2 linked regions of the Callithrix jacchus genome follow. The protein of the gene in region 1 binds, or shares a complex with, the protein of each later gene. Links are inferred from orthologs where the notes say so. Each region holds a gene or a part of one and is shown on either strand. Other genes may lie near its edges. The genes, in order: SATB1 and HOXB2.

The links.
Region 2: SATB1 (region 1) and HOXB2 share a complex: the UniProt entries of both Homo sapiens proteins name them as parts of the nuclear protein complex. The link is inferred for Callithrix jacchus from reciprocal best matches to the Homo sapiens genes SATB1 and HOXB2.

The regions. Positions count from the first base shown.
Region 1 is NC_133518.1:57,108,511-57,120,253, forward strand, and holds the start of SATB1 (DNA-binding protein SATB1), read right to left. Parts: upstream 10,063-11,743; 5' UTR 10,057-10,062; coding exon 9,846-10,056; intron 6,223-9,845; coding exon 6,046-6,222; intron 5,275-6,045; coding exon 5,148-5,274; intron 4,378-5,147; coding exon 4,254-4,377; intron 1-4,253. UniProt on the Homo sapiens protein: Crucial silencing factor contributing to the initiation of X inactivation mediated by Xist RNA that occurs during embryogenesis and in lymphoma.
Region 2 is NC_133506.1:117,727,471-117,739,313, forward strand, and holds HOXB2 (homeobox protein Hox-B2), read left to right. Parts: upstream 1-5,248; 5' UTR 5,249-5,445; coding exon 5,446-5,833; intron 5,834-6,592; coding exon 6,593-7,275; 3' UTR 7,276-9,515; downstream 9,516-11,843. Other genes in the region: HOXB3 (homeobox protein Hox-B3), read left to right, coding at 1-74. UniProt on the Homo sapiens protein: Sequence-specific transcription factor which is part of a developmental regulatory system that provides cells with specific positional identities on the anterior-posterior axis.

The sequences.
Region 1 (11,743 bases):
TCAATTCTTACGGAAATGACTGTCACATTTCAGGAGGGTAGTACTGAAGCTAAGCTTCAGGAGCACAGGGTAGTTTCTTTTTAAAATCTATTTTGCCATTAATAAATAAATTGTCCAGCTTATTTGAGATCCTTGGATGCTGTGAAAAAAGGAAAATTGGAAAATCATCTTTCTCAATATTACTTCTAAATGGAATGTTCAAATTTAAATGTATTTTGTATATATTTTACTACTTGAAAATAAAAATGACAGTTCTCACCCACTTTATATGACTTGGCTTAAAGATATCTTTTCCAGGTGAGAAATAAGATAGAAAATAATCCAATGCCTTAAAAACGTGAAAGGTGTGGTAAATGTGTGTGTGTCTGTGTATACCCATGTGTGTGGTGACAGAGGAGAGGCAAAAATGAGCAAATCAGATTAAAACCACCACAAAAGATTTGACCTAAACATTTTTAGAAGGAAGACACTAGGCTGGTAGAAATTAATAGCTGACCTTTTACTTAACAAAATGAATTTACCCCTGTATCAGAATGCGTACATATTTATCTGGTGTTTAAATGCAATTTCTAAAACTCCAGGGAAAATAAGCATCAAAAGGTAATGTTTTATTATAAATCAAATTGTTCACTTTTTAAATTCCCAATTTTCCTCCCAAATCCATATCCTAAAAGTTTTATGATTACAGGGTTTCTTGTCCCCAAATCAGAGTTTATTTTCTCCTCCTTAGCTGCAATTCAGAATGTAACTAACCACATCCACCGAAAAAAACAAAGTGACAACAAAACATCCATCCTCAGACCTATAATGAGCTAAGCATTTCTTATGTCTTAGAACATTTTACAAAAATAATAAAAAAAACATGTGGTACAAAGAACTTAATAAATGAGTGTCAATCTATTTGGGCAGATTTACGATAAGAAAGTCATAACAGAAATAAAGGTATGAGTTGTAAATCAAGCCAAACCCATTTATGGAATTTCTGCAGCTGGAGAAAACCTTACAAATATGATCAAAGAAAACATTATTGTACCCAAAAGTAAGTTGCTTTTTTTTTTTTTTTTTTTTTTTTTTGAGATGGAGTCTCGCTCTGTCACCAGGCTGGAGTGCAGTAGCAAATCTCAGCTCCCACACAACCTCTGCCTCCCAGGTTCAAGTAATTCTTCTGCCTCAGCCTCCTGAGTAGCTAAATCAACACTTTTAAAATTTATCATAAGCCAAGGACATAAGCTTAGCAAGTCATGACTTGTGTGTCAGTCATTAACTAGCACCGTGACTTTAATCTCCAGGGATACTGGCTGCTTCAATTGTCAAAGGGGAAGAGCCTAGGAAGGATAATCCCTTCTGGTTCTGAGAACCCAAGTCCAAATGGACATTTGCTTAGCAAGTAATAGACAACCATCCTAAGAGCATTGGAGGCAGGGCTTATCCAACACCCCAGGCAAAATCCTGGTAGCTTCCCAGTTCCACTCCTCCTAGACCCTGCTCTATTAGAGGAATTTATACGAAGTTTAAATTAGTAAATTCCTCTAACAGAGCAGGGTCTAGGAGGGTAAACTTTTTACTAAGTTTAATATTGAAGGACCCTGTAACCATACTTGCTACTGGAACACTTTATCATATTCAACAAAATAAAACCCTTACTCTATGGTAAAATGTGTATGTTGAATCGCATGCTAAAGGTTCTCTTGCATGAATGAATCAACACTCCATAGGGGAAAAAAGTCCTTAACACTTGGCATTTCTTGGTGTTAGGTCCCATTTTGTACAAGACCGAGGTCATATTTATTTGCCAGGCATTCTTCACCATAACGTCTTTATCACCAAATCTTAACCACAGAAAAAAGAGTAGTTTTGTCAAACTCGGCATATATTTTGGACATAGGCTTTAGGAAACTTGCATTCTCATTTTAATAACTCTAGGCAGAAAACCATAATCAAGAAGCAAACAGAAAATAGTTTATTGAAAACATTCTGACTAGAGTATCAGATTCATAGAAAAATAGAAGATGATTCAGCAAAATATAAAATAACTCCCTCATTTAGAGAACAATTTACATTTTTTCATACTGTTAAATATTAAATTAATTTCAAATATTTGCTTTCACTGCTAAACTATGCTGAATTTTTAGAAGATATTTTTAAGGAAAAGAATACTATAATTATAACTGATGTTGAAATTGCAGCCTAGTTCCATCACTTAATGATTACAGTGAGGTATCCAGCCACAGGAGGCCATGTATCTGAAAACCTCTCTCTACAGAAATTCACCAATGTATGACTCCAAAACCAAGTCCTGAATTACATTTTGTCATTCTGCTTAATGTTATAATTGTCTGTATTCAATTCATTTTCCATGATAACACTAAGTAAATTCAAAATTCTATTTATAAGTTATAGTGAGGTGGAGTTCACTGGCTGAATGTTATGTCATTTAACAATTAGTTCTCACTAATTGTATCAACAAATATTTGTACTAAAATCTTCTTCAGCTCAGAGTAAATGCCTTAAGTCTTTGTCTAAATGTGCTTCCAAGATCAATGGGACATTTAGTAACATAAAGACACATGCGATTTCTGTACTAGGTATTTATATTATGTTTTAACTGAGTTTTTTTGAAAGTTTATTTCTAGATCATTTCAAATTTTCAAGTGTTAGCAACCACGTAACATGTTATCTGGAGTTGTCTGCGAAATGAAGCCACTGAAGAGTCACCCTGCTTTTATTATATAATCCTATTGATTTAACTGTGTTTAATTAATTTAATTACTTTTATTTGATGGTTATAAATTCATATCCTCTCTATTCCAAGGGAGAGAGAGGGAAGATAGGAGATTAGCTGAAATGACAAAAAAAAAAAAAAAGTATACTCTAAATTGCAAGAAATGGACACTTAGCAATACAGAGAATATGTAACCTGTGGCTATAGCTTACCTCAGAATAATATAGAAAGCTATTCATTATAAACTTAATTCATTTGTTTTATTTCTAAAATTTCCAGCAAATATCAAAGTACAAATGTTAGCCCGTAAGTTAGCAAATCTGAAATGCATGGAATTTTTATGAAACAGAAGCACAAAGCCCATAAGTTTCCTGTCAAAGGTACCCAATAATCGTCATGAGCCTCACATTAGAAATACATTTTGAGATTATCTACTACTCAGAATATAGCAGAAATACACTTTGAGATGTCTCAGTTGCAGAAATGTATACAGCAGTCATACAGTTCAAGTTCAAATGACTGAGACTAATATTCAGAATTAAAACTCAAATTAAAAGAAAACATTAAATATTTGGCAAAAATTTAGGTGGACCAAGATTCCAATCATCCTGTATCATGGAATGGCCTTAAAATGGATTTGGATACTGAGGGGATGACTGTAACACATTTACATGGTGACCCCACAAGCAGCCCTTAACAGCAGATTCACGGCATCCTTTTTCTTTTGTATTTGAAATCAGCTGAGTTTCGTCAAAAATGATGTTTGATTTTCTGTTTATAAGCAGGTAGGCAGTTCCTACCTAGAGTTTTAGCTGCCCTCCACCAATTTTTTTCTAAAGAAATCAAGGAAAATAATTTTAAAATCTTTATTTCATTTCAAAAATCCCTGATGGTATGACAGGCAACTAAGAGGGGAAAAAAGAAGATTCCACTTAAAAAACAGAAAAGAAGTAAACCAAAGCCACAAAATTGGTCACAAAATCTGAATGAATTAACAACTATTCAACTTTTAGTTACGGGTAATTATTCTCATAATTATTTTTACTGAAACACTTTGGATTTTTTGGTAATGAGTAAAGTATCCAAGAACCGTACAGTTATTTTTTTCAGATGGCATGGTGAAGTTCTGCGCATTATCACTAACACTGCCATTCCCACTCACTGAAGCTTTGGGGGAGTAGTACCACCTCGACTCTTTCTTAATAAATAAGGTCATTGAGAAGAATGTAGCCATCATGCTCACAGCATTCAAAAAGAAGACAAATCTAAAAACTAGCCAGCAGAGTCTTCCACGGAACTGTTTTTCCTGTAAACAGTCCTTTGGCTCTTTTCCCCAAGGGATAAAAAGCGTATAGGCTCTGTTCAGAATGAATCAGGCATATTTTAAAAGGTCATCAGTGGTCAAGTCACTTTGCATTTTTGGCAGATTCGTGCTTCAGATACCAGTTGCTTTAAACTAGGGAGCTCCATCAAACCTCAAATCAGGGTTGCCCATGATGTCTTATTATTTATTACATGCTATGCTAAGTACCTGTGAAAGGGGGCACTCCTTGGCCAACGAACTCTGATTCATATCTTTCAGTAAGTCCTTCAGAGCATTCCTCACTGTGGTGTGCGACCATTGTTCAGGAGGCAAGTCTTCTAGTTTGGGGCAACTATTTGAGACATAGATTAGAAAGGGGATTATTACAAGATTGCATCCCGCTGCAGAACATTCCTTTAAGACAGACAGATTTCATTTTGCGCATCAAACAGATGCATCTGGAGATTGCTCTCGGTCTCCTGATTGTTCCGATTAGTTAATTACTTTATACAACACATCTGCTGTATCGATGCATGAATTATACATCAGCTGCCTGTGGTGGCTATTTTTTCATGTTACTTCTACCTTCCTGCTCTGATGCACTTGGGAAGACAATTTAAGGTGTACTGCTTTCTCATGAGCCATCGTGAAAAGCTTTAACGTATTAACCGATTTCCTTTCATTACTCTGTTCATATGAATTAAAATCGTAAAAAAATAAATAAATAAGATTGTGGTAATAGTGAATACGACAGTCTTTCACAAAATGTACACAGATGGCACTGTTCATGATATGCAAAAATATTTTTTTCTTAAGTAAACTTTATGTAAAATGCCTTCTTGAAATGCATTGTTTAATTGACTAAACGTAAAAAGTCTTGTCTTTTGATAACCTGCACAAACCTACAAATTTTGTGTGTTGCGGGGGAGGTGCTTTTAAATTATACACTGAAGTTAGAAAAAAGGACAGAAGGATAGGGTAACAAAATCAATCTGTATTAACCTTTCTGAAACACAGAGTAGAAAAAAAAAAAAAAATGAAGGTTGACCAGAGAGAGATGCTTCATTTCAAAATGACCAGGTAAGAAGAACGTTTCACCCTAGATTTGCTGTCTTGACTCACCTGTGTAACTGAATTTTCAATGTGACCACATGATACACATCTTGAAGCATATCTGCTACTGTAGCATCAGGGGCATCTGTCACGTAAGACAGTGGAACTGGATTCCATTTTCCAACCTGGATTAGCCCTATTTCAGATAAAGAGAATATGTCACGAAATATTTTACCCTCAGATACCAAATCTAGTAGAAGGGTGATCTTTTTCTTTTTTCTGATACCCCTACCACAAGCAATACTGTTATTTCTGTTTGAATGATTCCCTTCCTTCTAAAAGGCAGGTCAATGCAAATATTCACAGCTTAGCTTTCCAAATTGTAAAATTATGTAAATGACTATAGGGTTGTTTATTATTTTGGAAATAAAACCCCATCAATAAAACCTATGCATAAGGCCACATTTTCCTAACTTACAGGAAGTTCTAATAAGACATAGCTGAACCAGTTCTAAATGGCTTTACGATTTAGATAAGATTCTCTATTGCAGTGGGAATCAGCATTGAAAAATACTTTACAGCCCATAAAACCATCAGAAACAGAATAAAAGAAACAGAACTAGATATTCAGTCATAAATGCAAATTGACTCTCAACAGTCCATCTGCTCAAATACGCTCCTCACTTCCTTGTGGGTCCTCAGTGGAGCAGATTATTAAGGTCAATAAGCATACTAATGATTCAGCTGAAGTAATTTAAAAAAAAAATCTACCTCGACATTCCACATGAGCAAAATGTGTGTTAACTAAACCAAACTGAATTAAGCCAATTTTTTAAAGCCACAGCCTATACGGAACCAATGTAATACACAGGCTACAGTTCTTTGAATAAAAATATTCAGTGCTTTCTCTGTAAGGTAAACAAAGGATGCCAAGCAATTTTTCCAACCCCACATACACATTATTTACCTTTGGCTTGGGCAGCAGAGCTATGTGAATAACCTAGAGACAGCAGTGCCATTTCTATCAGCTGGTTGAAAAGCATATCCTTTCTCACCAACACAAATTCTGCATGCTCCTCCTTGCAATCATATTCAATGGCATTTTCATAATGTTCCACCACACAGAAAACCGGTAGCATGGTTCCTATCAAAAAGATGAAGAAAAAGAGATGGAAAACCAATAATCTTCAGAAATACAGCTTGGGGGAGGAAAAATTAGCCATGAAAATAATCACAAGAGATTCACTGTGCTTCCAATGCAGACTGGGTACAGAACTACAAGCACATGCATGCAAATATATACATTCCCGCATTATTTAAAGTTGTAAGAGAAATATTTGAGTAGAATGTGAACTTGGTCCTAAGGTAAGTTGGCCTTTAAATTAACAATGCATTTTCCAAAAGCAATAAATGCAGAATTACCTTTCTGATCAAATAATAATGGTGATGAAAGAGAAATAAATGTGTCTTCTCTAGTTTGCTATGAGTATACAGTATGCAAACATAACTCACTAGTTACCTTCGGAAGACCCTATATTCCTACTGCCTATATGATTTTGTTAATAATAAACTTTTCCTGTTTGTGTCCAAACAAATTATCTTCAACCATGAAATTTTCATTTTCTTCCTTTTTTAGATATTAACTCTAACTGGTTCCACACAAAGTACTTAACCAAACTGGTGCTCATAATATACAATTTCAATATGTGCATAATACACGTAAATACCATTTGCTTTTATGAACACTCATTTAACCTACCTAACTAAAAAGGTAACACAGTATCCGTAAGTCTTTAAAATCAACAATCTTTGTTATAGTAAATAAAATAAAAATTAGAGAGAGAAAAGGAAACTGACCTTATCAGGACATACTAAGATAAAGGAATCTGCATAGATTTGGTGTGCTCTCTCTTTATATATTTTAATCCAATAGTAACTCAGTAGCCAGATGATTAATAAGCACAAGCCACAGCACTCACTATCAGCAAGATGCTTCTTCTAGAAATTGATATTACGGAATGCTGTAGTACTCAAGGTGTTTATGCAGCTCACTGTCAGACTTCCAATGATAACGGAAAAGGGTTAAAAGCAGATGCATCTGAATTGTACTGTGGCAAACTGCCAGAAGGGTATCATCTTTAGCATAAATGATGACAAGGGTTACTTTAACAGGGCACCCAGGATCCACAATTAGTCCTACAATACTAATGCCTCTGTAAGCTCTGTCCTCTGGACTCACAGAATCCTACCAACTTCTGAAGATATGTAGTACACAGCAACCGTAGCTAAAAATCAGGATTTCCTACTGACACCAGAGAGGCTCTTTAGAGATTCTCTATTTGCTGTTTCTGTTGAACAAAAGCCGGCAATAAAACAGCTACATCTTTCTATATGTGAGTCTTCACCAAAGCTTTAGTGAACTGTTCACAAGAGATTCTAGCTCTGACAAATAAACCCCTTTAGGTTTACTTAGGAAAACTCACAAACTCATTCAGAGGTACCAATAGGATAAGCATGAAAAACAAGCTGCAGAGCTTGCCAATATTTTTGTCATTCATTCAGCTGTTTTATACCAGCGAGAGAACCCGTCAGGGATCAGAAGACAACTTGGGGAGACCACAGCAAAAATAGCAATACGCAAACTGGTGATTTCTTCCTTGGCTTGAAGATATTTTGACAAAATCGCCTAAACAAATAAAAACATTCAATCCCTTTTTCTTAGTAGTGCTTTCTCATCTCAGCCATAATTTTCATCTAGCACCTGTCAGACAGAAACCATGCACAAGAAAAATAAGATGGAAATATTAATAAAAATCCATGAAAAGGCTTTAGCAATTTTGTTATTTGAAGTATCTGAGGCCCTTCTACAATTAAACTGCATTTTTAGCATACATCCAAAAAACAAAACAAAAAAGCATTTGAGCAGGAAGTGAATTTACTGTACTTTTAGTTCTTCCTCCTCCTGTCCTGATATCTTCAAGGAGTCGAGTAAGTACAACAAAAACACACATATTGATTCTTCCTTTTGAAGGATTAAACAGATGTATTCTACAATATGCTTTTCCTTAGACCTATGAACTGCAGGGTTTTCAAACTATTGAAATATATTGGATTTATTTTGGATTTTATCGATTATGTTTAGAGGTACCCTAAAATAATAAAGATGTCTATAAAGTAACAAGAGTATCATCTAATTACAGATCTTCTAGCAAACTGTTGCGGTTACCCTCCTGTTCCTGGGAATAACGCTGAACATAAGCCTTCTCTGAACTGTCTGATTATTCGTGCAAGTGTTCGGTGAGAGTTCCAACTACAGCGACTTCATAACCTTCCAGCATTTAAAGGGGAGAGCACTGGTCACTGCTGAATGCTAAAAATACCACATGATTTAAACCTGAAGGCAGTCTTAGAAGCTTTTGCTGAAGGTTTATGAGCCTGTGTAAACAGCACGTCTGCCATAAGGAGCAGTGAAGTCTGTAGAATCCTTGTCTAAAACTGTCCTGGCATTAAAGTTTGCTGTGCAAATATCACATAATACCAGAGACAGCTGAAATCTCCTATTTAGGAATTTATGGAACTTACATGTTTGCAGGCGTCAGAAAGTCTTTTTTATAGAGCCCCAGTGCTTCACAGTACAATATTAATGTACTCTGTTTGAAAAGCCGTAATAAATTATATTTTTAATGCTCTTACCCTGGCTTTCTTAAGATGCATACATTCTTGGCAAACAATCAATAAATAGGGTAATCATGAGTAGAGGCCAAAGAATTTGCTGAAGTGCTGTTTTTCCATTTTTAATAGATAAAGATCTAACAATACGGACTGCTGTGTCTGTTCATTTCAGGATCAATATATTCTTTGTTTTCGCCAAACCAAGGAAAAAATAAATGATTGTATGATAAATGTTATGCATCAAACACAATGAAATTCCTCTGCCTTCTAACTTTAGCTACTTAATATTCTTGGTTGCTAAAATATAGCATTTTTAATCCATTGCTTAGCTATTATAAGGAAAATCTGATTCCTATACATGTTATTTAGACACAGAATGAAGCTCCTTATGAGGCACAGGCATTACACCCGGGAGAGGCACTGCTTTACAGGAACAACACTGTTAAACACAGTCAAAGTTGTTAAACCGCATCAATTTAATATTGATAGAAAAGAGTCACACAGTTACACATCTTCCCCTTTAAACTTGTCTAAATCTGTTCTTTCTTCATCAAGCATACCCAATTAAAACAAAAATTAAAGACCAGAATCATCAGATTTTTCAATACTAATGAATTTTCTCTGAAGAAAATAAGCCACGAAAAATAACATGACAAACTTCTGTGTAAGACTTTTAAGATCTCTGAAACTGCCTTACAACCAAAAATCTTAGAAAGAAGCTAGGGTAGCTCTCAAACCACCTAAGTGTTTTATTCTTAATCAGGTTAGTTTAAAGCAACAGCCGCCTACAATCCTCTACTGTAACACCTTGTGAATGGACCCCTGTGTAAACTAAGACCATTATATTTAATTCAGTCCTTAGAATCTGAAATGTCCAATGATTCCAGACTACAGTAAAATGCTCCACCCAAGCATGGAGCCTATACTTTCTAACATGATTGATACTAAGGACCCAGAATGTAACTAATTTAAGATCAGAAAGAGAATAAAGGCAGAGTATACAAAACATGTTCTGCCACTCCACCCCCACACAATGTGGCCTTGTGTAGACACCAGGGCTTTCAGCTTTCCAGGATTTGGCTTGAGAGTATTTACCTTTCCTAAGGTTGGTTTTCATCAGATGGCCCGAATGTTTTAAAGGCACTCCCTGCATTTTTGCACCTGTACTCCCAAGCCTTCCTCTTCCTAGTGGGCTCCCGTTCTGCTCCAGGCGGGCAATCTTGGCTGGTGGACCCTTCGGATCACTCACATTGTTAGACATTTCTGAATGTTCTTTCCCCTGAGTTGCCTCGTTCAAATGATCCATACTCAGTCACTGTCTAAAGATCACCTGCCAGAATTTAAAAAGAAGACACGTTACAATTGGTTGGGGACCCGTATGCATATATGTGTCCTATGTAAATGTTTTAGCTCTAGATATCTCTCTCTACTAATATAATGTATTTGTAAAATGGCCTTTCTAGATAAAATACAGATGTTACTATGTTTCTAGATAATAGCCCTACATTCTTATTCAAATTAACAGAATGATCTGTGGAAACTGTACCAATACACATGAATAAAAAGGTAATTGGCCTATAAAAAAAAAGCGAGGAAAAATGGGCTTACTTTTAGAATTATCAGAAGTATAGCTAAAAAGAAAACAGCAAATTGTATTTATGCAGTCCCAATTTTTAACAACTAGAAACTCATTACAAAAAGACAGCAGAAACACTTTAATAAAGGATGGAAAGATTATCACAGTTCAAAATATTAGAAATCTAATGTATATGTTTCTATTTTTACATATGTTTTAATTCTTATAAAAAACACATAAACCAGCTCTAAAGAAAGTAACAAACATCTAACTGCTTTTTAAACTCCCCAGTGGCATAAGTTAATGCCTAGAAAAAGTTTTCTACTACCAAAGTTTCAAGAGTTATGTGACTTGTTAAAGACCTAGTCAAGTTTTGGGTCAAACACATGATTGGATCAGTTTACCCCTAAGCAAACAGAAAGAAGTGAAAGGTTTTCAAATATCCAATGTACTGATGCATTAAACTCATGTGTTTTAGAGTTAATATTTAGGTGTACATTAGTAATAGAGGGCTGTTAAAAATAAATATTTTTTAAAAATTGAATATAGTTCATGATATGCACATTAGGTTGAAGTGTCAAGCTATAGGAAAAAAAAAAAAACAAAAAAACCTTGATGATAATGGTAAAACAAAATATCCAGTATTCAGAAATAACCTCAGCATGCAATGGCGTTAACATCATAATTAACTTCAAAACATTAACAGATAATTATTTTCAGTTATGTATTAGACATCAATTTTCACATCATTTACAGTAAAGTGATTAGACAATATAAAAGTCATTTTTAAAGTATAGTTTTAACTAGGATTGATAAGAACAGGTAATTAGAATTATTTTATGAACTTTCATGGTGTTTGAAGTATTGAGCTCATAAAACTAAGGGTTTCATATTTAGGAAAACCAGAGAATAATTACCATTTTTCCTAGCTGTCTAGTAATTTGACATAGCTTGTTTTTGTTTTAAATTCTTATACTGAAGCTATTTAAATCTGGATTTGTTGAAAGCCAGTTTGTATCAGCATGGTTTTTCTGTAAACATTTTTTTCTTCTGTTTAACCATAGCCTACTTCTTACCATATAATCAAGAAAAGGGGGACAGCAATGTTAATCTAGAGATTTAAAAGCAACCTTAAGAATACCAATTGAAGAACTATAAAGTTTGAGAAACATTAATGGCTATTTATCTTTGTACTCTAGAGTGGCACATTGAGAACTAAAGGTTTACCGTTGATCGAGGTCCCATCTGTTTTTGGTTATGAGGTTCATTAACAATAAATGTGCCTTTTTAAACCACTTTTTATCAAGATTACTCTTTTCCATTATATTAAACTGCAGTCTAAAGCCAAAATTAGAAAGCAATGATTATTAACTTATTCAAAACACTCTTTATAATGTTTCATGTGGATAATACAGAG
Region 2 (11,843 bases), on another chromosome or scaffold:
CAGACCTCTCCTCTCACCATGCGCCTCCTCCTCAGGGTAGAATCCAAGAAGCACCCAAATTAACACACCTGTGATGGGAGAGGGCAGACGAGGGTTAGGGGATGGGGAGGAAGAGGGAGACTGTGGAGCTCTGTGGGGGCAGTCTGGACGTCTGAAAGAGAGGCCAGGGAGGTGGTAGCCAGGCTTCCTGGGCAGAACCAGCCTGAAGCTCCTTCCCCTCCCCCTGGCCTGAGAGGTTGCTTTTAAGTCCTCCACCCCTTGTTCCATCTGCCTGCTAACCCATCGGAAAGGATTCCACAGCAGATTGGAGATGACCCCAGCAACCCCAGGGCTCCAGCACCAAGCTGGAATTCCACGCCCGGGAGTGGGGTAGAGGAAGACGAGATAGGACGAGGCAGAGAAGCACATTTTAAAAACCAGACAAGATGGCTAGGCCATCACCACCCAACGGACTTACCTTACATCTTTGTAGGTAATTCCCCCGAAATCTTGATTTTTTTTTCCTCAATTCTCCTTAAAAAAAATAAGAAAACACATTTCAAACCCAAAGGGCACAAAGCACGTTCCCTTTCAACTATCCCCCATCCTCAAATTTGTTCCCATTTATTTGAGGTTTTTTGAGGTACCTACCCTCTTCATTTCCAGCCCCAGGTTTTTCTGCTCTAAGACATTCATGTCTATACATCCCACCCTCATCAATTACAGCTGTTAGAGGGCTCAGGGATGGTGAGAGATCCTGAAAGAGCTGCTCATATTATAAATTATATATATATTTTTAAGGAAAAGTGTGGAGGCCAGGGCAGGCAGGTTGTTAGGACTGAAGGCTTGCCTATTCTGCCTCCATCTCAGCTCCAACTCCATCCCCCTCTCTCCACAGAAAGCAGTTGGTGACACGAGGTTCTACACTTTTCTTTTCTTCTGTTGCTCTCTTGACTTAACGTGAAAACAGGGTATATTTGAACAAACTGTCCCAGGCAGGGGCTGCTGCAGGGCCTGTATGCCTTGCTCAGCCTCCTGACAGGACACTTTTGTTGCACTTAGAGTTTACATTTTAATGGATATAAAAACAACTGTGAGAGATGTCTGGGCCTGCAGAAGTCCGCATCGCTCAAAAAAGTGTGTGTTCTAGTGAACATTTTCATATATATTTATTGGTTATAGCCTGTTAAAATATTTTCTTTTTTGTATTATTTATCCCCCTACATTATGTATTTATATGAGGGAAAAATTGAAAAAAAATTGTACTTTTTTAGTATTTACTTGTTATAAAGGACGTTGTGTTTCCTGTCATGTAAAACCAGCTATTTTAGTTATTCTTGTACTCTAGAAAAGAGCTGTAGATTTATGTTAAACTCGTACTTATGAACAATTGTAATTAGTTCTAAAAGGCATGAACTCAGCTCCTAATTGTCGCTGTATAGTCCTGAATTTGTAGAACTAGAGTTAATTCCCTCTTGGAACTTTCTTTGTTCTTCGGTAGTTACTTTTTTCCTTACCTAAAAGGGTTGTCTGTCAAACAATTCTTGAATAAACTTTGTGTTATCAATTTTATCTTGTCCTGCTGGTCCAATTTAGATAGCAGAGCAAGGCTGCTGACTGCCAAATTTCCCCCAAGGGAAGAAGAAGGACACTGAAGACCCTTCCCTGGCCTTTTTGTCCACTGCCCAGGTTTCTATCTCCCCCTTGATATGTATCAGATTTAAATACCACTTTCTCACTCATAAGAGCCTGGAACATTTTGCCAACTTCTTTAGCTGTGGTTTAAGTAATAAGTTGGGAGGTAAGGGGGGATTCTTTGGTGCTCTCTGTAGGTTTTTCTGTTTGGCCTCTGTGCCTCCCGGTTTTTCATTCATTGACATTTCGTCTGTTAGCTCTTTTGGCCACAACCTCCATGCACCCCTCACCCCTTCCCACTACCAATAGGAAAATCTGGCCGATTACGGTTTCTTCCACGAAACCTAAACTTCACAGTCCTCTTCCGGAGCTACAAAGAAGTTGTCACGTGACCCGAAGCCCAACCACCATTGGGTCTAAAATGAAAACAAAGAAAAATGATTAATCTAAAAAAAAAATCTGAGGCCTAGACTTCTCAGGTCAAACTTTAGAACTAAGTAAAATTAAATCACTAAATAAAACTCAAGGCGGAGGGAGAGGAGGCACGTTTGATTTCCCCTGCCAGAGAAAGGGGAGAGGAGGGTGGAAGCTGTTGGATCCAAGCGTAAATAAAATGGTCCCCAGGCTAATGTGCGGCTCTGTTTCCACCATCCTTGGGAAAACTTCATTTCTTAGTCGTGGTTCCATAAAAGTTTTATCACATTGGAGTGAGAATAGAGAGGGTCTGTCAAAGATGAAATGTCACCGCCGAGTCGCTGGAGCCGATAAGAGCGAGAAGACAGGGCGGCTGAAATATGGAGCTAATTCGTTGAAAGAGAAGCGATGGCTGCTTGCTGAAGAGTTGCATAATTCTAATTGTAAGCGATGTGCCCGCATTGCTTAATTAGGAGCATATATTTGGTGGTAGTGATGGGGGTGGGGGGGAATGAGAATCGTTCCAGGCCCTGCCTTAAAGCGAGGGCTGATTTTCATTTTTATGTTGCATCCTGGCAGTCCAAGGTTAGTAATTATAGTCTTTATGCAACAATAAATAACAATAAAAAAGCAACCTGAATTCTACACCCTCCCCCTTCCCCACCACCAAGTAGGATTTTAACTGGACTCGGCTCACCCAAGCAGCAAGCAATTTAGCACTGGGTCAGGCTATAATTTAAAGGCATAAGAGCGTGCAAAGTTTGGGATCAAATAACGCTCAAGGGTTTTTCTTTCTTTCTCTCGTCTTCCCTGAATAACATGTTCTGAATGATATAACTAGATGAAGCACTATGTTTGGCTCTGGGGTTGTGTTAGGTTGCTTATTTATCTAGCAGGAAAGAGACAGGCCAAGAGAGAGAATTTAGCTTAAGTTTGAAAAACAGAGCTTTGGCTCGAAGCTGGAATTGAAAACAAGAAAAATAAGAAGCAACTTGGCTTGGTGTTCCCTATCCTTCTCTTTGGGAGATTCCAGGCGCTCAGCGAAAGCAGCCAAAGACTTGGGTAAAATATCCGTGCTGTAAAATTCACAGCAGGACAGGGGGGCGGAGGAGGGATGTCTCTTAGAAGGAGGGTTCTCTTGGCCCCTTTAACACCCAAGTTTTCGTTCGCTAATCTGGCCATAAAATCTGTCAGTGAGGGTTAGAGAGAGCTGTATTTCCTGCCGGGACAGTCTCTACCCGAGTCGCCCAAGATAAGCTCTCGATCCTTCAGCCAGCTGGAGAAGTTGGTGCTAAACTCGCAGAGGTGATCAAGGGGTGGCCACAGGGAGAACCCTCTCTCAGGCCTCTCTGAATGACTTCCCGACAGCTACTATTTGGATTCTTCCATGCCCACCCCCATCCACACCTCCAAACGGCAAAAATTGTTTTCTTTGGAGCCGAGTTGCACACTATTATCGCTGGCCACTTTGCCCGGGTTGCAGCAGCTCTCTCTCTCTCTCAGTTCAGAGCCCTCCTGCTCCTGCCTCCCACTGTCCCTGCAGCCCCCACCTCCAATTCCCCTTTCTCTATCCTCCTCTCCCCCACCCTCATTCTACTCAGAATTCTCTGCCGGTCTTTTTAAAATACTCACCACCACCCACGCAGATACAACATTGACAGAAAAATTTCTAGTTCCAGCTCCGGGCTCGGTTGCCATTTCTTTGCTAACCAGCCTTCTCTTCCTGGCTGGGCAGCAGAGAGACAGGAGGGGGAGGGGAGGCCAGAGCCGTGAGAGTTCTCCAGGCAAACTTTCCATCCAACTTAGCGCCTTCCCTCTGTCCCTATTTCCCATCTGTTTCCCAGCTCTCCCAGAATCACCTTTCTCTTTTGCACCCCCACCCCCACCCCCAGGGCTTTTTAAGGGATGTGAAATTTTGGCTGTTCCCTTTGCTTTCCCAAAGAACCAAATTCTTTGATGCAATAGGAGGGAGCTGTCAGAGGGCTAAGATTGATCGCCTCATCTCCTCTCTGTCCCTCTGACCCACGTATTTAAAAATCTTCCCCCAGATCGACTTTTCATTTTCTGTTTTTGAGGCCCAGTTTCTTGTGCCCTCTCCCTATAGTAAATTACAACAGTGTAAACTTTAGACTATCTTGGTCTTCTCAAAATACAATTTAAAAACATTTTCCCCTAGGAGCCAGAAATGAAGTATCATTTCAGTGGTCATTATTTCCACTCCCACCATCTTCAGGGAATTCTTCCTTGTCAGGAATTTTTTTTTTTAACTAGCACAATGGCAAAAATGGGAGGGAAAGTCTCTTTGTCCTAGGGGAAAGCTCCCCACCACACCAGGCACACACATATGCTGACCTGAACTTTGAGAGTGCTCTAAGTTAAATCAGTGGCTACCTCAGTTCTTGTTTATGCCCCTGGATATGGATACAGATACAAGCTTGAGGCTGGAGTGGGTACATGCCCATCTTAGACTCTGCCTGTTTTGGGTGGGGGGGTGTCACAAAGAAGCATGGATGCCTCAAAATGAGGAAAGCAGGGGGACATAAGAGGCAGAGGCAGTGCTGCAAACACTGGGCAGAGAAGAGAAGAACCTAGGCCACACAGCTATGGAGGCTAGAGGCCCAAAAATGCCTCTCATGCTCCATCTCACTTCCATGTGTCAGCCTGGGAGTTCCTGTCCGTTTTCTAAGATTTAACTGTTGCTTTTGGAGGGTGACATGGGGATAGTGGTGCTGATGATTGTAAATCTCTTTGTTATTTGCACCTTAACACTGACCTTTTTCAGAGTGGAAGCCTCTTTCAACTCCCTCTTCCTCCAACGGGGAGATCCTCACTCATCTTGGGGAAGGGGAGAAGAGAAAAGGATGCTGCTGGCCATGTAAAGAAAGCCTTAATTTACTCTATGAAAATAGTTAGAAAAGAGGAAGATTTCTCCCTTAGATTCTCTTCCTTTCCAGGCTTCCGAAACCTCCTAACCTCCGGAGGATTGAGAAAGAGGTTCCCCTAGCTTTTCTGGAGAAAGGGAGGCACTGGGGAGAGAGCGTGTGAGGCACTGGTGGAGGAATGGGGCTCATGGTGTCCACGTCGTGGACCTCTGGAGTTTTTGAATCAATTAAAGCAAATAATGCTCTCTGTTTTCCACCAGGCCCAGCCGAGCGATTGGCGGAGGCCGGCCCCGTGACCACGAATTCCCTGTAATTTCGCCGGAGTCCTGGGTTTAATAGAGAGAGTCCCCATACGCTTGTATTTATCAGCAATATACAATTATAAAGGCCCAAAATTTAAAAAAAAAGAGACCGAAATCTCCCCCTCCCAAAATCGCTCCATTACATAAATCTGGGGGGGGCGGGAGGGGGGGTCCCTTCCGATCCTCCCTCCTGACGCCCCCCCCAGCAGCCCCCTCCCCCACCATTGAAAGCCATGAATTTTGAATTTGAGAGGGAGATTGGGTTTATAAACAGCCAGCCGTCGCTCGCCGAGTGTCTGACTTCCTTCCCCGCTGTCTTGGAGACATTTCAAACTTCATCAATCAAGGAGTCGACATTAATTCCTCCTCCTCCTCCTTTCGAGCAAACCTTCCCCAGCCTCCAGTCCGGCGCCTCCACCCTTCAGAGACCCAGGAGCCAAAAGCGAGCCGAAGATGGGCCTGCTCTGCCGCCGCCACCGCTGCCGCTCCCCACTGCCCCCCCAGCTCCCGAGTTCCCTTGGATGAAAGAGAAGAAATCCGCCAAGAAACCCAGCCAATTCGCCACGTCTCCTTCCCCGGCCGCCTCCGCAGTCCCGGCCTCCCGGGTCGGATCGCCTGCAGGTCAGTAAGTGTGGTGGGGGTGGGGTGAGGGGGCAGCTAGAAGAGGGGGAGAAACAGCAGTAGGAGGAGGTTAAAAAAAAAAAAAAGGTGGCGAGCCTGCTGGGGTTCCGTGCCCCGTCCATTACTGCTGGGGACGGGAAGCGGAAAATCTTCGCTGGGGTTCAGGCCTGGCCGCTGCCAGGGTCTTTTTTCTCTTCCTGCGCTGATTTTGGACGCTGGTTGGGGAAACGTCTTTTCTCTGCTAAAAGAAAATGATTCTATTGAGGTTTTCACCTGTATCTATGTAGGTGAATGAGTGTGTTGCTGGGATTGCCTCTAAAAGCAGGAAAAGATTCGGTCCTTTCTGCCCCAACACTAGGAGAAGAGGAAGAATTCAGAGCTAGGGAGGAAGAGGGGTGAAAAACAATCTTTATGACCCTCGCTCCGGTTGAGTTGGAAAGTTCCGAATTGAGGGGTCCACTGGGAGGGCTGAGGAGGCGGAATCTGAGGTTCTGGCGGGAAAGGGAGCCGCTCTCCACCCCATGCTTGGCCCCGGAGCGGCTCTGAATGCTTTGCCCTGAACCGGGCCGGGGCTGTCGACTAGTGAGGGAGAGAAGGGAACCCAAAAGCAGTGAAAGCGAGCCGCTTTGGGGTGGGGGGCGGGGGTGGGGTGGCGAGGAAAGGGAGAGGTGATACTGGTTTTGGCGGATGGGGTAGTCCTTAGCTGAGGTTGGGCTGAGTACACGGCGCGCTCTGACGCCCAGCCTGTTTTTTCTACAGATGGCCTGGGACTGCCAGAGGCTGGTGGCGGCGGGGCGCGCAGGCTGCGCACGGCTTACACCAATACTCAGCTGCTGGAACTGGAGAAGGAATTTCACTTTAATAAGTACCTGTGCCGGCCACGCCGCGTCGAAATCGCGGCCTTGCTGGACCTCACCGAAAGGCAGGTTAAAGTCTGGTTCCAGAACCGGCGCATGAAGCACAAGCGGCAGACGCAGCACCGAGAGCCGCCCGATGGGGAGCCTGCCTGTCCCGGCGCCCTAGAGGACACTGGCGACCCTGCTGAGGAGCCCGCGGTCAGCCCGGGCGGCCCCTCCGCCTCGCGGACGGCTCGGGAAGCCTGTCCTCACCCGCCGGAGGTGGTGCCGGGGACCCTGAGCGCCGCGGACCCCCGGCCTTTAGCCGCTCGCTTAGAGGGCACGGGCGCGCCGAGCCCCGGCTGCGTGCTGCGCGGGTCGGGCGGCCAGGAGCCGGGGCCATTGCCAGAAGACGTCTTCACACAGCGCCAGGATTCGCCTTTCCTTCCCGACCTCAACTTCTTCGCGGCCGACTCCTGTCTCCAGCTGTCCGGAGGCCTCTCCCCTAGCCTACAGGGTTCTCTCGACAGCCCGGTCCCCTTTACAGAGGAAGATCTGGACTTCTTCACCAGCACGCTCTGTGCCATCGACCTGCAGTTTCCCTAACCGGTTTCCTCCTCCCGGCCCTTTCGACCCCCGCGCTCCTTGGCAGTCTGGAAAAATTGAGCCTCTCCCACCCCCAGTCGCATAGACTTTTGTGTTTTGTTAAAATTCAGGTATTACTGAATTAGCGTTTAATCCACTCCCCTTCTTCTTCTAAAATATTGGGCGCTCGGGCATCTTTTAAAATTCAAACAAAAATTCCGTTTGGTAGACTCCTTCCAATGAAATCTCAGGAATAATTAAACTCTAGGGGGACTTTCTTAAAAATAACTAGAGGAACCTATTTTCCTCTTTTTGTGTTTTAGACTGTAGATTATTTATTAAAATTCTTTAATAATAGGAAAAGGGGAAAGTATTTATTGTACATTATTTTCATAGATTAAATAAATGTCTTTATAATACGAAAACGAGTGTTTCTGTTGGGACCTAACCCCTTTCCCCCTCCCGGCCCCAAGGCCCATCCTCACTCCTCCAGGACCTGTGAGAAGCTGATTAGGTTCAGCGGTCTATTGGCAGCAAAGCCTCCTGGACCGGCGAAGTCCGGGTGGTACAAAGGTGACCCGATGGATGGCCACTTCGCCCATGGCTCCGGCCAGAGTCAGGAGTTTGCAGGAAGCTCAGTCACCTCCGTGCACCTCAACAGAGGGCCTCTGGTTTCAAGCGGGTGGTCTTGGGGCCTCTGCTTAGAAATAAAGATGGGCGGGTGTACAGCGAACAGAAGACAGTGCAAGGAGAGGAGGCCTGGGGACAGGCTTCGGGGTCCTAGCGGGGGCGCAGAAGTTTCCTGGAATTGGGAAGGATCCCAGGGGCTTCATCGCTTCTTAGGACCAAAGCCGCTGTAGGGCCTTTTATTGAACTCAAGAAGCCTAGGGACACGAAGCCTGGGGCTTGAGCTCTTTGGGAGCTGTAGGTGGCTCTCCAAGGAGTGGAGTGGGGTCGGGGATTTTCTCGGGAAGCAGGGCCCCGCACCCAGAGATGGTAACTGGCCTCCAGTGGGCAAGAAAAGTGGCCAGCTGAGAAATGTGGCGCTGCCGGGACACCCATGCACTCTGGGACTGCTGGGGTTTGGGGGAGCATACGAGAAGCAGCCCGGCGACAAGCCCAGGGAGGCCCGGTACCGTCGCTAGGCATTGGGCCTGCAGGGTGAGAAGGAGGAGCGAGGAGAGCGGGAGGGAGACAGGGAAGCAAAGATGATGCTCAAAATGGCGCTGGGCCGGGCGGCGGAGTTGGCGGGGGATGAGGGAAGAGGCTGCGGCCGCCATGACAGCCGCTGCGGGAGGCGCCATACCAGCGGGGTCTGCCCCCGCCCCCGCGTCCTCCCAGCCGGATCTTCCAGACGCCGGGGAGTAAGGGGCGCCTGGGAGTCCCACCTTCGTTTTTGTTTGTTTGTTTGATTTTTTTAATTTTTAAAGTGAGCCCAACGGACGCTGAGGACGCGAGATGGAAGAAGAGTCCGGGTGTTTGTGGGAAAGGAAGGAGAGCGGCGGGTCTGCGGGCCCGGGTGTGCCTCAACGAGTCTCACTTTCGATCCTTCGCTGTGGGATTTGAAGCCAGGCCAGAGCTCTCTCTAGATGCAGACCCACCTGTCTTGACCAACAACTTCATTTTCCATATCAACACCACGTCCTGTCTATCTCCCGCCGCACCCTGCCTGCTTCCTTGTAAACCCGGTAAGCGGGAAGCAAGGATCGATCTCCCCACCTCCTGGTTCGTTCTGGGAAGGTGGAGATTTAAAGGACCCTGGAAAGCCATCCATCCTCCCTAGGTTTATCCAATATTTCTCCCGCTCAGAAACAGACACTGCGGGGCTATCTCTCCGGCAGATGCTGCTCTTCTCTAAAATCAGTTTATTTCCGGGGCCCCCAGACTTTCCCCTGGACCAGCAGGAGCGGGATTTACAGTACCAGAGGCAGCAATCGTCAGGTTAAGCCAGGAGTCAACATAGATTGTGACACAGAGGACTAGACAGACCCTTTGCATATTTTTAAATGGGTCCCTCAGCATGGGAAGTACACACATCTTATTTAGCTGGAACTTAATCCCTTAAACTGTCTTAATACAGAATTCATCTCGTGTATTAAATAATCTTACATCATGTTAAATTGCACTTATGTCTCTCATAAATAAATTAATATAGAACAATTAGATGTGTTATAATAATATCGTGTATCTTAGTTTATTTTCCCTCATAAAATATATAGGTATAAAATAAATTCAATATATTAAAGTAATAATACACAGCTTATTGGCTTGTGTGTTTATTTTCCCCATAAATAAGTGAATATACAATATATTAAACCACACTATACATCTCATTGGGCTGTGTGTTTATTTCTCTATAAAATATGCCCACAGGCAGTGTTTAAAAATCTTAAAAATCACAGCACACAAGCCATCTATCTCTACACTAGCAAAATGAACAGATATTTCAGCTGGGGCGTTGATTTCTGTGGACAGTTGAACTAGATAATTTGGTCTAATTAAAAATGCTCAAGGCCAGGCGCGGTGGCTCAAGCCTGCAATCCCAGCACTTTGGGAGGCCGAGGCGGGTGGATCACGAGGTCAAGAGATGGAGACCATCCTGGTCAACATGGTGAAACCCCGTCTCTATTAAAAATACAAAAAATTAGCTGGGCATGGTGGCGCGTGCCTGTAATCCCAGCTACTCAGGAGGCTGAGGCAGGAGAATTGCTTGAACCCAGGAGGTGGAGGTAGCGGTGAGCCGAGATCTCGCCATTGCACTCCAGCCTGGGTAACAAGAGCGAAACTCCGTCTCAAAAAAAAAAAAAAAAAAAGTGCTCTTGGCTGAGCTCAGTGGCTCAAGACTGTAATCTCAGCACTTTGGGAGGCTGAGGCAGGTGGATCACGAGATCAAGAGATCGAGACCATCGGGGCCAACATGGTGAAACCCTGTCTCTACTAAAAATACAAAAATTAGCTGGGTGTGGTGGCGGGCGCCTGTATTCCTAGCTACTCCGGAGGCTGAGGCAAATCGCTTGAACCTGGGAGGTGAGGTTGCAGTGAGAGTCGAGATCATACCACTGCACTCCAGCCTGGTGACAGAGTGAGACTCTGTGTCAAAGAAGAAGAAGAAGAAGAAGAAGAAGAAAGAAGAAGAAGAAGAAGAAGAAGAAGAAGAAGAAGAAGAAGAAGAAGAAGAAGGAGGAGAAAGAAGGAGGAGGAGGAGGAGGAGGAGGAGGAGGAGGAGGAGGAGGAGGAGGAGGAGAAAAGAAAAAAATTGCTCTTGCAGCTAGCTATAGCAGGTTGTTACAAAGATCAAGAATACCAGAAGGATCTTGCTAATGGCCTACCTTCCAGTTTCTTTGGTCAAAAGGAGAGCACCCTTCCTCAATGCCAAAAAATGTAAAGTCCACTCTGCAGGAGAGAATTCCTATTAGGGGCCTCTGATGCACCAGTTCTCTGGAGCCTAACTGCTCCGTGGACCAGCAGCATCAGCACTACCTGTGAGCTACCCAGAATCTTAGGCCCCTGAATCAGACCCACTGAATCAGAATTTACAGTTTAGCAGCTCCCCAGTGATTTCTATACACTTAAAATTTGAAAAGTACTGCTAGATCATAGTGTCACCTGCTTTCTGCCTTCCTTCATGCTTCAGAATTTTTGACTCATTTTACCTGGCCCCTGCCTTCCAATCCTCCCAACCAAAACCAGTAGCTCAAATTGCAGGGAATCTTTGTTCCTGCCTGGGGCTGTATCAGTCCTGATTCCTTCCTGCCAAAGTAGTGGGAAGCCAACCAGAGGCTCAATCTACCTGTTTAGATTCAGGTACTTTGGTCATCCCAGGGGTGAGAGTTCTTAGTCCAGGTATTGCCTTTGGCTGATTATTGGAGAGGAATTGAAACTCTTTTTACAGGAAACACTCAAGTCTTGCTCGCTCTCTCCTTTCCAGATTTATGAAAAGCACCATCTCTGATGATACCACAGCAGAACAAAGAGGCAATGCATTTGCAGAAGAAAGTGACTTCCCTCTTCAACTTCCCCACCCAATTCAGATTCAAGGGAATGCTGTAATCTAGGATGCATAAAAGATTGCAATTCATGATCCCTGTGTTCCAAATTAACCTCTCCTTCTTTCATCTCTGGGGTCATCCTTTTTAGCCTGAGTTTTCCCACTTGGCCATGGAGAAGGAAGGGGAAGAGGAGTGGTTCCTAGATAGGGCAGCAGACCCCAGTGGTGGTGGCAGATTACAAGGCAGCCCCAAGTGGCTGCACTCACTTATCCCATCCTGATTGGGGCAGGGTTCCTCTTGGGTCAGGACCAATTGTGAATGGCTTGTAGCACAGAGTGGTTATAAATTCACTGTGGTTGGAGTGGGAAGGTTTCAGTGAGCCTGGAAAGTGGCTGGTCAGTCTGACCTTCTCTTAGTGAATCATTCTTTTAAGAAGCATGTCTCATTAATATTACAGTGAAAGCAAAGAACCATTAGACTGAGGAATTACTTGCAATCATGATAACCCTGAGTCATTAAAAAAAAAGTTAACTTATGCCTGAGCAAGTCTCTTCCCCTTTCTGGACCTCAGTTTCTCTATCTGTGAAATCAATGGAAGAA